2 linked regions of the Schizosaccharomyces pombe genome follow. Changing the gene in region 1 together with any one later gene gives a genetic interaction. Each region holds a gene or a part of one and is shown on either strand. Other genes may lie near its edges.

Region 1 (8,397 bases):
GCCTTTCTTGATAAGTCGTTGTTTCAAACGTTTAATTTTCAGGGTGATTCAGATGGGGATACATATATGTTCCAGACGATGATTTCACCTCTTTTACAATCATTATCAATTTATACAGATGGAAAAGAACGGATTTCAACTAGTGCCTGGGATCAACCCACTGTAAACATAATGCACAAACGAGGCGTTATCTGCAAAGTACAGTATAATGGACCCGGCTGTCCATTTATATGGGAGTAAGGATTTTATCATTAACATTCTGTACTGACAAAAATAAAGAGTAGAGGAAATGGCTGGTTATGCTACGGCTTGTGAACTGTTGACTATGGAATGTGAGGACGACGTTGACATCAATAGACTTGCAAGCACATTGTGCACGAAGATCATTATGAAAAGTAACTGGCTATATGATGCCTTGGTGGAATTAGACAATAACATGGGCGAAAATTTAATTATTCATACATCATCCCAAAAATCAACCTTCTTATTGAGATGTGTAGGGGCATTATCCACTACGGAAATAGAATATCCAAACGAGAAAAGTGTTTTAGAGTCTTTTGAAACTGATTCTGAAAACACTTATTCCTACCGCTTCTCATTAATAAGACATGCGCTGAAAGCATTACAAGTGGGTTCTAAAGTAAACCTACGTATTGATGAAAATGGAACTTTGAGCATTCAAATCATGCTTGTCGGTCAAGAAGGGCTTTGTACGTTTGTAGACTTTTGTATTGTTCCTTTGGACCTTGTAAGTGAAGATGAGGAGGAGGATGAAGAAGAAGAACCAGCAGAATCTAATCAGTCGGACAATAACGTTTTACGAAACGATCCGAATTATCGAGGAGATGCGGAGACCGAGGATGAGGATAGCTAAATGATAATTTTAGCACTCAGCACTTTAGTGTTTCCGATAACTTCAAAAAAAGAAAAAGGTACAATTGATACTGAACAACTTATGATAATACACTTATTCAACGAATCATGATTTATTTCCCTGCTTTTTGTTTGGTCTTATTTAGGTAGCTTAAAGTCACACCGTTTCCTCACTTTTTCTATGCTTATTTAACACACGTATAAACAAGACGCTTTCCACTAGGCTGTCTAGCAAAGCATGTAGCCAACAAAATTCCCATGTATCATACACACGATTATACATTATGGTTAGATCTACGAAGCATTCAAAAATTCTTCAAACATTATTGATTTTTAAAAAATAGAAAATGCAAAGTGACACTCATAAAACATTTGTTTACTCAAAATGGAGTCTCATCTCCTCTTGCATTCCATTTTTGGACGTTGTTGAGTCTCTGATCACAAATTCTCGCACTTTCCAACTTTATCTTGATAATTCTCATATCCTCACCCTCCACGTATTGTTTCGTATTACCCTTGTCATTAGTGTTTAAATGCTTTTCTCTAAAGAATTCCTCTTCTTTGCTATTCTTTGGAAGAACGGTAGCAAGGCCATTCAAGGTCACTGATGTATTCGAGAACTGAGCCTGATTCATTTTATAAAGTAAGGTGTACAATGAGGAGGCATCAGGATCTGTTTCTTGACGATTAGTGGTCCAGTCATGAACTAGTAATGATACTCGAGGATTCTAGTCATCATGTTAGAAAAAAGAAAATACCAATCAGGATCAAGGATAAGTTAAACTTTTAAATATGATACATACCGAACTGATGTTAAAATATTTTTTACTGTTTTCTCCTGTTGACAAAATAATGCAATCCTCCACTTCGTAAGGGGCAGCGCTTCCTGCAGGTAAATAGGTAAATGTCATCAAAGAAGAGTGAGGCTGATCATGAAAGCAAGTAGCTAGTTGAATATATTTGGATGAGGACAAGCATCTCTTGATTTGGCTGGGGAACTCATGAGATGAATCGACTTTTGAGGCCATATTTACTTTCAGGTTATTGTGGTGCGACAAAGATTATAATTTGCAGAATAAATACTGGTGAATGGAAACTATTGATCCAGACAAAACTGTACGATAATTTCTATACTTGATTATCCTTTCCTAAATTTTGGTGGTACTCCTCTCTGAGTAAGCAGGTTTGATACTAGGTTAATAGCAGAAATGCTGACTCACAACTCAACGTAATATAGAGGTATGTACTAAACAGCCAACTTACGAATTTTGCAGGGGAACTAAAGATTAATAATCTTCAAAGGAATACTGCTCATAAAATAAACGCGCTCATTTCTGTGTATCTTGGAAAATTCATACGCATTATGATTGTTGGATTTACTTACTCAAAACTAATTTCCTTAACTTATAAACACTAATTTTAGTATACGGATTTTTTTTATTTCGTAAATTAAATTAATGTAAAAATGAAATACATTAAGTCATAACAGCACGAAGAAGCTGTATTTTAGTCGTAACAAGGTTTTGGAAAACCCTTAGAAAGAGTAAAAGTGGCTATAACAACTGATAACTAAATTTACCAATGATCGATCTTCATCGTTCCTTTTTCTAAAAGGTTGAGCTGCATCTTGAAAGCATTGGCAAGAATATGGGGTTCATGACCAGCTCCTCTAGCTAAACAGTAGTTTTCGGCAATATCGAAATACTCTCTGAGCAGAGGCTTATAGTCAGGATGAGCACACTTGTCAATAACCTCACGAGCACGTTCGGTAGGAGACAAGCCTCGTAAATCAGCCAATCCTTGCTCTGTAACCAAAATATCCAAATCATGTTCGGTTTGGTCAACATGGGTAGCCATAGGAACAATACAAGTGATACCAGTAGGATCCTTCTTCGAAGGACGAACCGATGGTGTATGCATAATACTTAATTTCGCATTACGCAAGAAATCAGCAGAACCACCTAAACCGTTCAACATTCTGCTTCCCAAAACATTTGTACTATTGGCATGAGCGTAAATATCGGCTTCCACAGGAGTATTCATAGCGATGCAACCAAGACGGCGGATAATTTCAGGGTGATTGGAAATTACTTGAGGGCGTAACAAAATTCTTTCCTTGTAGTAATCATAGTTTGAGTAGAATTTTTCAAATCCCTGAGGAGAAAAACGGGTTGAGGTAGCAGTAGCAAAACGTAACTTTTCAGAGTCAAAGAGAGGCAAGAAAGTATCTTGTAAGACTTCTGTCCACACTTCGAGATCTTTAAAGGGAGAATGGGCAAGACCACCGATAATAGCGTTGGCAATGTTTCCAATACCGGATTGCAAAGGATGAAGATTTTTGGGAAGACGCCCTACAGATACTTCATGATGGAAAAAGTCAACTAAATGGCCTGCAATAGCCTGCGAAGTCTCATCTTGCGGAGAGTTAGCGCATGTGATGTCTCCATAATCAGCCTCCACTATTCCAATAACCTTTTTGGGATCCACTTTGATGTATGGCTTTCCAATACGATCGTCAACTCGATTGATGTTTATTGGAGTACGATGTGGGGGGTTGGGAATTTCGACAATGTCATGAAGTCCTTCAAAAGAAGGAATGGCAGTGTTCACCTCGATGATAATCTTTTCCGCAAGTTGCATAAGTTCCGGACTCGCACCAACTGATGCGCCGGGAACAATTCCGCCGTCCTCGGTAATGGCTGTGGCCTCAATAATGGCTGTGTCAATTGTATTACTTTCACGATTACGAGTATAGTAGCCATAAAGTAAATCTTGGGGAAACATGGATAAATGCTTGTCGAAAAACTGAATTCTGCCAGAGTTAATTCCTTTAGAAATTGGCTTTCCTACTTGATGAGGACACCGGCGCTCAATCATATTCAATTCAGCCCACTTGCATTCCGTATCAGCACCTCCCGAGGCACCAACGAACAATTTAAAACGCAATTTTCCTTGCAAATTGTTCTCTTCGACATGTCTTGCTAACGCGTTTGGAATCATTTTAGGATAACCGACACCAGTAAAACCAGACCAACCAACATAGTCCCCATTTTTAAAGTACGGAACCAACTTGGCAGGATCCGTAACAATTTTTTTGGCAAATTCGGCATTGCGAATGCGTGAACTCAGAAGAGACGGCATTGTATCAACAAAAAGAAGAGAAGAGGAAGGAAATATTAAAACGTTGAACTAGTAAAAGTCAAATTCAAAAGCGATAAAACAAGAAAAAAAAGAAAAGAAAAAGAAATCTTTCAATGAAGAATCTGGGCGACAGATAAATAATCAGAATATGCTCAAAAACGCTTTTTTGGGCTTAAAAGATAATTTTAATTTGTTGAATGTACACTCTTTTTTACTTTTAAATAAGAAAATGAATCAACCAAAAGTGGTTGTTCTTGTGACAAATATGTAACTGCTCAGTAACAGATTTACAAACCCAAGGATCACAGATATCGGTAAGATATGGAATGATGATTGCAAAAAAAAAGCCGGAATGATGAATGTATGCGCGACTTGATTTTAGCAAAGTAGACCAAAATTGTGACGAAAAAAAGAGACAGAATTTGCGAAATAGGAAAAGGGTAAAAGGTTGACCGGGTGAAAATCTTCAATAATAAAAGGGCGTAAACTTTGTTTAAACAATGTGTTTCGAAAAAAAGTGTTGTTTGCTTATTTGTTTTCCGGGGAAGGAAGGTGTTTTTTTATGGTGATTTAGTCACAGAAACGGAAGAATATGAATGAGAGTAAATATAATGAAAATCCCAAGTAGAGTAGCGTTTTGCCCTATTAAATGACAAAACCCGAGTGTGTTGACTTTGGCAGACGTTTTGTTATATCTGTAAAAGAATTAAGGATAAGGAGAACAAATGTAGGTAGGTAAGTTAGTAGTAAAGCGAACACGAACGAACCGATGCAAGAAGAAAGAGTCAAATGATTAAATTAAACTGAATAGAGGTGAAAGGGGGGTGAAAAGATATTAAATCAAAGAAACTTCAACAAAATAACCAAAGATTCAGCTGTTTAAAAGCCAAATTTCAAAATCCTGGAAATTGTTTTGTTTTGATCTCAACGACGCTAATGACAATCAGAAGTATCGATTATAAGAGTGAATTACACTCAATTTTTGTAAATATACCAAAATACTTATGGATGGTAGTTGTTAGGTTAGGAATTCAAGTGTTGAAATGGAATTCACCTTGTTTTATATGTGTAAAATAAGGTTTCACCTAGAGCCTATGGAGGGTCATTCATTGGAATCGCACATTCAAGCAGGTAGGGAATCAAAACAAATGCAGTACGTATAAGGGAGTGAGGCAAATTACGGTAAAAAGATAGTGCCGAGAATGCTTGCTTACGTTGTAATTTCTATAACAAATTTTGTAGAAATCCTGCTAAATAATTAATAACGATAAATCACGAAATATTTTGTTTTTCAGTTTAAGTCAGAATTAAGAGGCAGAAGGCAGCAATGACTTAGTACGATATATCGTCATATTAAAACAAGAAATCAAATTATGGAGGTAATTAGGAACGGTATCCCATTATTGTCCCAAAACTGGGTATTATTATTCAAACGCGGTATATAAATAAAAATATATGTTTACGTTATACAATTAATTTATTTATTAGCATTATTAATAAATTAGGATTATTAATAAACAGAAAAGACTAGACTTAACTATTTGTATCAAATTAGTTCAGATCATTCAAAAAACTTTTAAAGAAACGGTTCAATCACTACAATCAACAATATCACAAGTGTGAGTTAACAACTAATAAACATTCCTTCTTAACCAGAAAAATGATAGAATTTTTTGACTTAAAATCCTTGTAGGCCACAGAACGATATATTCGTTCTAAAACTTCCGTAAGGAAATGGTCAACTCCAATTAGCTATCACCTTTTTTCCTGTATAAGAAAAGAACCAGCTCAAAATGTTTACTCAACTAAATCATTGTAATAGCATGTTGAGAATTTTGTTTTTAATAATAGCAATGATATGAGCAATGAAGCATGAATTAGGAGATTTTTTTTTTTTTTTTTTTCAAATTGTGAATTATAGGCAAGAAGACTGAGCTTTCAAAAGAAGGACCGAAAGCAATAAATTTTAACAAAGACAAAAAAGATATGTATTAAAGGTCAAATGAAGGAAAAACACAGTACAAGAGATCGGAGCACAAAATATTCACCTACCAAGGAATGCAAGGAAACACGAAATGGAAAACAGTAAATTCAACAGGCGTAAGAAAACAAACGATGATTAGGACAGAGAGATGAGGAACATTGATAAACAACAAGAAAACACATTTTTAGAATGCCAAAAGAAAGAGAGCTCTCAGTCGTCCAATGGCATGCGAACTTTAGGAACAGCAGGAGCCGCATTGACTTTTTGCTTTTGATGGATATAGCGTAAATATTCCCTAAGACCATAACCGAAGTTGGAAATGCAATAAAACCCTACGACTATGGTTGTGAACAAATAAATTATGGTGACTATTGAAAACACCAACATACAAATATTTGCAACAGCAATATCCCCATAGTCGACGCCTAGGTATAGCCTAGCACAGTTGTAAATAAAATATGCAAGTCCACACATAAACATAAACTGTACAATCCCTAACAATGCACGATTTTCTCTGTAAACAGCATACCTACAGGTCATCAAAGTTGCGATTGTACAGGGGAAGACAAGAATGGTTAGTGCTAGCCCAACACGACTTATGGTAGAAAAGAAGATAGCATATTGAACAGTAGCCGTTAGGCAAAAATAATAGTCCGACTTAATTAAGGACATGAATATTTTGTATACGAGATACCTTCTTCTCATTCGAAGATCAGGACCATGCTGCTGATACATAATCCATCCAAATGCTTTGTTCATTTTGTAAACCAAGAAGCTCAGCAAGATACAAGTAACGCCGATTAGCACCGGAAGAGCGATTACAAATGGCTTCAGATAAAATAACAACATATGAGAATTAACAACTATTCTTTCGTGATAGTTAAATGATGTGACGAGGCGAATGGGATCTATTAAGTATAAAGCGGAGAGGAAAATCGCTCTGGGGTCTTTTGAAAATATTTGAAAATATTGGACAACAGATAGGCAAAAAAGGCTTACATGAAAGATAAGAAGTGCTGACATCTAAACGTATAATTCGGTTAGCTTGAATTGGTTTAGATCTCAAGTGCGTCAACCATATGAATCGACAAAAGACAAACAATGCCATTTTAGCTTTTTTTGGAGACAATTAACTTACCTGTATTACATCCTTGTTTAATAATGCATCTACAGCCGTATAAAGTAAATAGGGACATGCCATACAAAACAGTGCAAATGTAGACGGCACCATAGCATTTATAAAGACATCAATTTTTTCGACTGTGATTAAACGAAAATGATGAAAAACATATCCTTCAAAAGATAATGTAATGGTAACCTCGACAATAATGATCAGCAGAAACCATTGTGATGATTTTTTAAGAGATCGAAGGAAGTCTTCAGCAGGCTTGAATGACAAGAACTTTTTCATGATTAAAAGAAATTATTAATAACGCTTTCATGAAAGTCTTAATCTCTTCACAGCTTAGTCACTTAGGCTCATCGAACGTTGATTGTAGGTGTTGTTTACCGCTTTGGTAAGCGACGAAGTTCACTCTGACTTAACGAATACGACTGTACACTAGCTCAAATACAACTTTTCTGAATGTTTATAGTATATGAATTTGTGACAAATATTTGTTAGTGTTTGAAAAGAATTATATAACCTTAAAGCAAAAACGTGGGTAGTAAGCAAACAAGGTTGATCCACCAACTCATAAGCGGGAGTATATTATATTTATAAACTTAAATAGTAATTGGTCTTTTAAAATTTGATATGGAATTTCTCGGCCTCAAACAACTGTAAAGAAATTTACAAACAAAATTTCATATTAATTAAACTCGCATTATCTTCCTTAATCAAAATCTAAATAATTAAAAGATAAAATAAGACTGGGAAAGTGGAAGTTTGTCTACAGGCTCACATTCCATAACTTTACCATCTGCAGTAACTGTGTAAGCTTCTGGATCAACAGTCATTTTTGGCATATATGAATTGTAAACCATGTCTTTCTTCCCAATGTTTCTCGTAGATTTTACGGCTTCAACTCTCTTATGAAGTCCATAGCTTTCAATAACACCGGATGTTATAGAGGCCTTGGAAACAAATGCAATGCTCCTCTCGGGGTCATGTGCACCAAACATTTGCCAGGACATGAGGGGAGAAACCGTTGGAATCGATCCATTTGGATCACCCATAGAGGCCAATGCAATCATTCCTCCTTTCAGCACCATACTGGGTCTTGCCCCAAAGTCAGCAAAGTCCCATAAGACAAGGTCAGCAAACTTGCCTATCTCCACAGAACCAACAATATGAGAAATTCCATGAGTAATTGCAGGGTTTATAGTGTATTTGGATACATAACGTTTCACACGGAAATTATCAACACCTGAACCCTCGTCCTCAGGAAGTGCTCCTC
Region 2 (6,223 bases), on another chromosome or scaffold:
TAATATGAAAGAAGGAAACCGAAATTGAGAAAAAACTATTTTTATTTAAGTTAAAAAGAGAAGAGAGACAAATAAACCAATTTTTCAAAAGGCTTAGCAATATGAATTTGTATACTAAATGCAAAGTTATTGGTAAAAAAAAAATAGAAATATTGCTAAAAAAAGATAATCTAAGTGAATAATTTCATTAATTATTTTAATAAAAGAAGGTTTTATAATTAAAGCTTGGGATAATCTTTAAAAAAAAAAAAAAAAAAAAATTTAATCAGTTAACCTTAATCTTAATTTTTTTATTTTTTTGACTTTATTATATTAGTCAATTTTATTTTTCATAACTTTTTCTCCAATGCTTCAATTTTTTTGTAGTTATTAAAATTGGGTAAAATACATAAAAATAATCAGTTCAATCAACGACTTAGCATACAGCCTTTTTCCCTTTATGTTTAATTCGTAGGCTTTTTTAGTTTTCTTCGTTGTTATATCTTTAATCATTCCTTTTAACTATTGTTACTTTTTCAAGAATTTAAAGCTTCTTTTGTTTTTTACGTATCTGTAATGATCAAAATCAATTTGTCATTGTCAATCCTGACTTTTACAGCTTTACTTTTTTTCTTTTACTATCAACCAAAGGCAGCCCTCTCTCTTCGTTCTACATTGCTCAAAATTTTCACCATTAGTGTACTCTTCATATTTCTATCTTCTACGGTGGATATACATTAGTTTTTATCATCACGTTTAAATTGCAGAAAATAGAGCCCGACTGTAGGCAAGCTCTTAATTCAAATTTTTTCAGGCAATAATTTCTGTTCTCAACTGACGGGAAATGTATAATCATTACGAATTCGAACATCTGCAACTGAGCTCATTGATGCAAGAGGACATAAACAGTAAAATTTATATAGTTCTTCTGTAAATTTTCAAGTAATAAAAAAAGCTTTCTTTAATCATTTTATTTAATATCGATTGCTATTGTTCGCAGATCATATAACACAGCAGCCACTGAGTCTACTATCCAAGGGATTCTGTGTTGTATGCGATATCAATTGGTCTGAAATTCTCAAAAGGATTTCATTAGTTTAAAGCATTAGATCCATGTTTAATGCACATCTCTTCATTAGAAGTACGAGCTTGGCGGCTAAGCTATTGCATTTCTGAATTTCATAACGTACCTTGATAGAGCAATATTAGAGTACCTTACCACAAAGATTGTTCATTACTGCCACTAAATGTTTGAGTTTGAAATTTATCAATCAAAAATTTTGACTAACCAACCTATTTTTATACAAAACTTACCTTGACGGTAATGCTTGAATTTTGTTACTAAAATGAACGACTAAACCACTTATGAACAAGTTGAACATATCGATCTGTTTTGTAAATTATTTATACTGCGTAACAAGTTATGCTAAAACATCACGGATGAGTATTTTTAAAGCTGACGCATCAAAACGATTATAGTAAATCCGCCCATGTCAAAACGTTACTTGGAAATAAAAAGGTTATAAAAGAACACTGAAGTTAATTTTGCACTTGCCTAGCCGTACATATTGTACCATATATCTTTAACAAAAATAAATTTGTGTACGGCTTAGTATATTATGTGTTGAATAACGACAATACTTTCCATGCAGTTTTTTCGCTTTACTCTTTGCGGCATCTCATAAATAACCAAATTATGTTAAATCATACATGTAAGAAAGCTTGACAGATAAAAATAAACATAGACAAAAAGAAGCAAGAGATAATACAATACATCTCAAGTTTATTGCTCAGCTTGGTAACGTTAGGTAACGTGCTATAGAATACGTGAATTTATTTAAAACGTTATCTAAATTTTGCTGTGCAATTGAAAAGCGTCATGTAGGCAACATATTCATGAATAGAAGTTGATCAAATTGCTGATTAACAAATTCAAAAATTAGATAAAAAAAAGATTTATACCAATATAGGAATATAGTATGAGTAGATAATTCGTGAGATTAATATTTCTGTAAAAGTTAAGTTTATGTCGCATAATGTCGAGAAGCAGAACGGCAGTATAAAAGCGATACTAAACGGCGATTAGCAGTAAAAGAATATTCAACAATAATGTTAATTTTTTAATCAAGCAAATGAGAAAAAAATGAATCCAAAAATGATTAAATATAAATGCAATTATTAGCACTATCATTTTGAAACAAGTCCAAAACGACGTTGGCTACAATGACAAATATTAGAAACAGCATATTCTTGTTCAATGCTTATAGTTGGTAGTCATGAGTAGAGAATATAAATACAATGCACACGATGTAGATTTGATGTGGGTAAATGAGCAAGTAATTATTGATCGTGGAAATGAAATACGACCTATAAGCCTAAAGCATAATTGATCACTAAAAAGTGCTCTTTTATCTCCAACTTGAAGAAAAAGTAGAACAAATAAAAAGGCATCACAAGCTGCCATACAAAAACTATCAAACTTTGTTCAGCTAAATGTTTTGTGCATAACGATGATTAGGAAATTAGTGTGGAAAAGTTACAACCTTATGTACTGTTTCGGAAAGATACAGTAAAACAAACAATTCAAGAGAGATCTAAAGAGACAATCAGGTTAATGGCCTTTAATAATAAGAAATTACCGCGATGTACAACTTAAGCAGGTGTGACAAAAAGTACAAATGTACGTTCGAGCAATTAAAACTACTATTGACATATCATAAAATAATGTCAAATGTTGCAAAAAATAACAAACAAATTTGTTTTCTCGAGGTCAAGCGAAAAGATATTTACATGTATGAAAGTCGAATAATTGTGATAATAGCGAGGATTTATGAACAAAGACTACTCGAAAATACAAAACTTATTTCTCCCTAGTATATGAAGATCAAAATAACTTAAGCTAGTTGAAATGCATGCAATGTGTTAAACGTGGAATCATGAATTCGCTATGCATTTTATTGGCGTTTTCTTTTTCGTGTATCCGCGCTAGTACACTAGATTACGTTGCCTCTCACCATACATCGAATGTCCCTACTATCATCCTCCTACTTATATTTATAATCAATACGTGATCATCAGATCATTCCCTTACACGCTCCCATTTCAGATTATGCATCGTAATACTAACAAACTATTTTGTATAAGCGAAGTAATTAACTCCATTCGATGATGAGCGATCAGCTTCTGGTATTATTGTTCGCATACATATCTTGTAACATTTGTTACTCAATAGAAATTTAAGGTAACATTGATCATAAAGTAAAAGCTTGCCGTACTAAATTGTATCCGCCTAACGTTTGCGAATTTTGCAGCAAGCATTGTTTCGTATTTAAGATCACTTTTGTAGACAGATCTTGAGATAACGCGACAAATTTTGGGGCTTTTAAAGTTCGGAATTCTTTCTTCCGGATCAGAGATGTGTAGTGCGCCAGAGTAATATATGATTTAATATTCTTCCGTGTAGTACACTTTTCCATGCGAACTTCAATTTTTACAGCTTTTGTTTGAACTTTTTTTATTTTCTGCAATGTATGTCAACTATATTGGACTCTTTGCTTTCGTTCAAATTTCGTTGACGTTAGCTTATCCTCCCGGTCGTGTGGAGATTTCTGAAATATATGATTTTGAAGAATCTAGTTCGTATAAAGGACAAGATATTGATACATCCGTACTTTACACTTTGTCTAAAAGGAAACCTGCGCTCGTAAAACGAAGTACCGACGCTTCGTATGCCCCTTTCAATGTGACCTGTTCAAACGACAATCTGTTGAGGCCGGCTTCTGAAGGTTTAAATGAGGGCGAACAGAGCTATATCAACAAACGTATTTCTAAGGTTAACAGTGAACTCCGATCATTTATTTCTAAGACAGGTTTGAATGTTGACTTGGATAAGGTGGTTAACAGCTCGGATGGTCCACGTTTAGGAATTGCATTCTCAGGTGGTGGGTTACGGGCGATGGTTAATGGAGGTGGTGCATTCAATGCTTTTGACTCAAGATTCGAGAGTGACTCTCCACTTTCTGGTCTGCTGCAATCCGCGATGTATATCAGCGGTCTTTCTGGTGGTTCATGGCTTGTTGGATCAGTGGCTATTAATAATTTTACGAATATAACATACTTACGTGATAATGTCTGGAATTTGGAACATAGCGTTTTTGCTCCTCATGGGGATAATGTCATTGAAAATTTGAATTATTATAATGACTTGCGCAAAGAAATTGATCAAAAGAAACATGCGGGCTTTGACTGTTCTTTGACGGATTTATGGGGACGTGCTTTGTCCCGTAAACTTGTTGATGCTGAAAGGGGAGGACCAGGCATTACATATTCCAGTATGAGAAATCAAAGCTGGTTTCAAAATGCTGATTATCCTTATCCCATCATCGTTGCGGATAGCCGATTAGAAGAAGAAACGGCCATCCCTGCCAATACCAGTATCTTTGAGTTCACGGCGTATGAATTTGGTACATGGGACAATGGAATTAAAGCATTCATTCCAATGGAATATGTGGGAACTCACTTGTTGGATGGGGTTCCACCCGATAAGTCTTGCATTCATAACTATGATAATGCAGGTTTTGTTATGGGCACTTCAGCTACTTTATTCAACTCTTTTCTTCTTGACTGGAATGAAAATGTCAAAAAGAATGATACCTATTACGATATTCTTCATGCGATTCTTGAAGATCTTTCTAAGCATCAAGATGATATTGCTCCTTATCCCAATCCTTACCAAAATTATACTACTTCCAATACCTCTGTAGTGAATGCGTTCGAACCGTATGATACTATTGATCTAGTTGATGGTGGTGAGGATAGGGAAAACATTCCCCTTTGGCCTTTGTTACACCCACAACGATTTGTGGACGTTGTATTTGCGATTGATTCGACTTATAATGATCCTTATGGTTGGCCCCTTGGATCTTCCATTGTTGCTACATATGAGAGAGTTGTAACCTTTAATGCGAACAAGAGTGTTGATGTGCGTGGATTTCCATATATTCCGGACGAAAACACTATTATCTCTTTGGGACTAAACACTCGTCCTACGTTTTTTGGATGTGACGGTAAAAATACTACAGCAGGAAATCATGATGTAGACAATAATACCCCACCTCTCCTTGTATACTTTCCAAATTACCCTTGGACTTATTATTCCAATATATCGACATTTACTATGAGCATGGACGACAAGATGGCTAATGGAATTCTTGAGAATGCATTTATGTCGACTACGCAAAACAATAATGAATCTTTTGCAGTTTGCTTAGCATGCGCTATAATTCAACGCTCTTTGGAACGCAAGAAATTGAGTACTCCTACCCAGTGCTCTTCTTGTTTCCAAGAATACTGTTGGGACGGAACTCTTGCAACTAGTACGGCTTCTGTATATGATCCTACCGTAATGTCTGCTGCGACAACATCTCGTGCACCGTCAGGCACAACCTCGGGTACAGCCTCTAGTACAACATCTTCATCTGTATGTTCTCAAAAATTCACGTTGATTAAACTATTTTTTTTTTCATCGCTAACTTTTGTTCTAGGTAGCATCAGCCACTCCCACTCATAAACATTGGTGGGACTCGATTTTCGAAGCGAAAGAAAATCCGTAAAAAGATTCCATTGATGTTGTTTCAATGGATTCTCAGGCATGTGAGAAATTTAGAATAGATAGATTTACCTTTATTGTACTTGGTTACGAATTCGTTATGAAAGAGAACTAAGGATTTTCCTCATTCGTGAGACTGCTCAGTTAAACCCTTTACGTTTGATGGAGCTATGTAAACGGGTAAATGAATAATTTGTTATCTCTAAACTTTTTTAGATAAATGCAACCGGTCGAATGGATGAACAGGCTTAGTTGGCTCAATCTGAGATCGATGTGCATTCACGTAAAGACACGAAACGAAAGAATGTAAGCATGAAAACGATTAAATACAACATTGCTTTAAATTGATATATACGTACAATTGGGAATCACAAGTTGAATGAAAAATAGTCCAAGATCGTTGTGCTAATGATGAACATTAAATGATAGATTGTTTTAAAAGCTCCCGGTTTTTTAAAAAATAGATAATAATAAAATTGACTACAAACATTTAAAAGTAAGACAGAGACTTGTTAATTCAATATATGAGGAGTCACTACTAAATATTTTACTGTATTTTGAAACTTCCTAAAGGAAGGAAACTAAATAAATGCTGAAAGATTTATCAACAGTTTGGTACAAAAAACAGTAAAAGAG

What was found. Genes that interact genetically often act in the same process or in processes that back each other up.
Region 2: mutations in ach1 (region 1) and SPOM_SPBC1348.10C together harm fitness more than expected from each alone (negative genetic interaction), as found in Schizosaccharomyces pombe (one large-scale study listed by BioGRID).

Annotation. Positions count from the first base shown.
Region 1 is NC_003424.3:4,978,886-4,987,282, forward strand, and holds ach1 (acetyl-CoA hydrolase), read right to left. Parts: upstream 4,273-8,397; 5' UTR 4,015-4,272; coding exon 2,449-4,014; 3' UTR 2,330-2,448; downstream 1-2,329. Other genes in the region: checkpoint clamp complex protein Rad1, read left to right, coding at 1-236, 280-874; SPOM_SPAC1952.08C (pyridoxamine 5'-phosphate oxidase), read right to left, coding at 1,254-1,601, 1,677-1,901; SPOM_SPAC1952.10C (uncharacterized protein), read right to left, coding at 6,209-7,021, 7,137-7,409; nickel-dependent urease Ure2, read right to left, coding at 7,853-8,397. UniProt on the Schizosaccharomyces pombe protein: Presumably involved in regulating the intracellular acetyl-CoA pool for fatty acid and cholesterol synthesis and fatty acid oxidation.
Region 2 is NC_003423.3:25,655-31,877, reverse strand, and holds SPOM_SPBC1348.10C (phospholipase), read left to right. Parts: upstream 1-3,505; coding exon 3,506-5,458; intron 5,459-5,522; coding exon 5,523-5,591; 3' UTR 5,592-5,723; downstream 5,724-6,223. UniProt on the Schizosaccharomyces pombe protein: Catalyzes the release of fatty acids from lysophospholipids.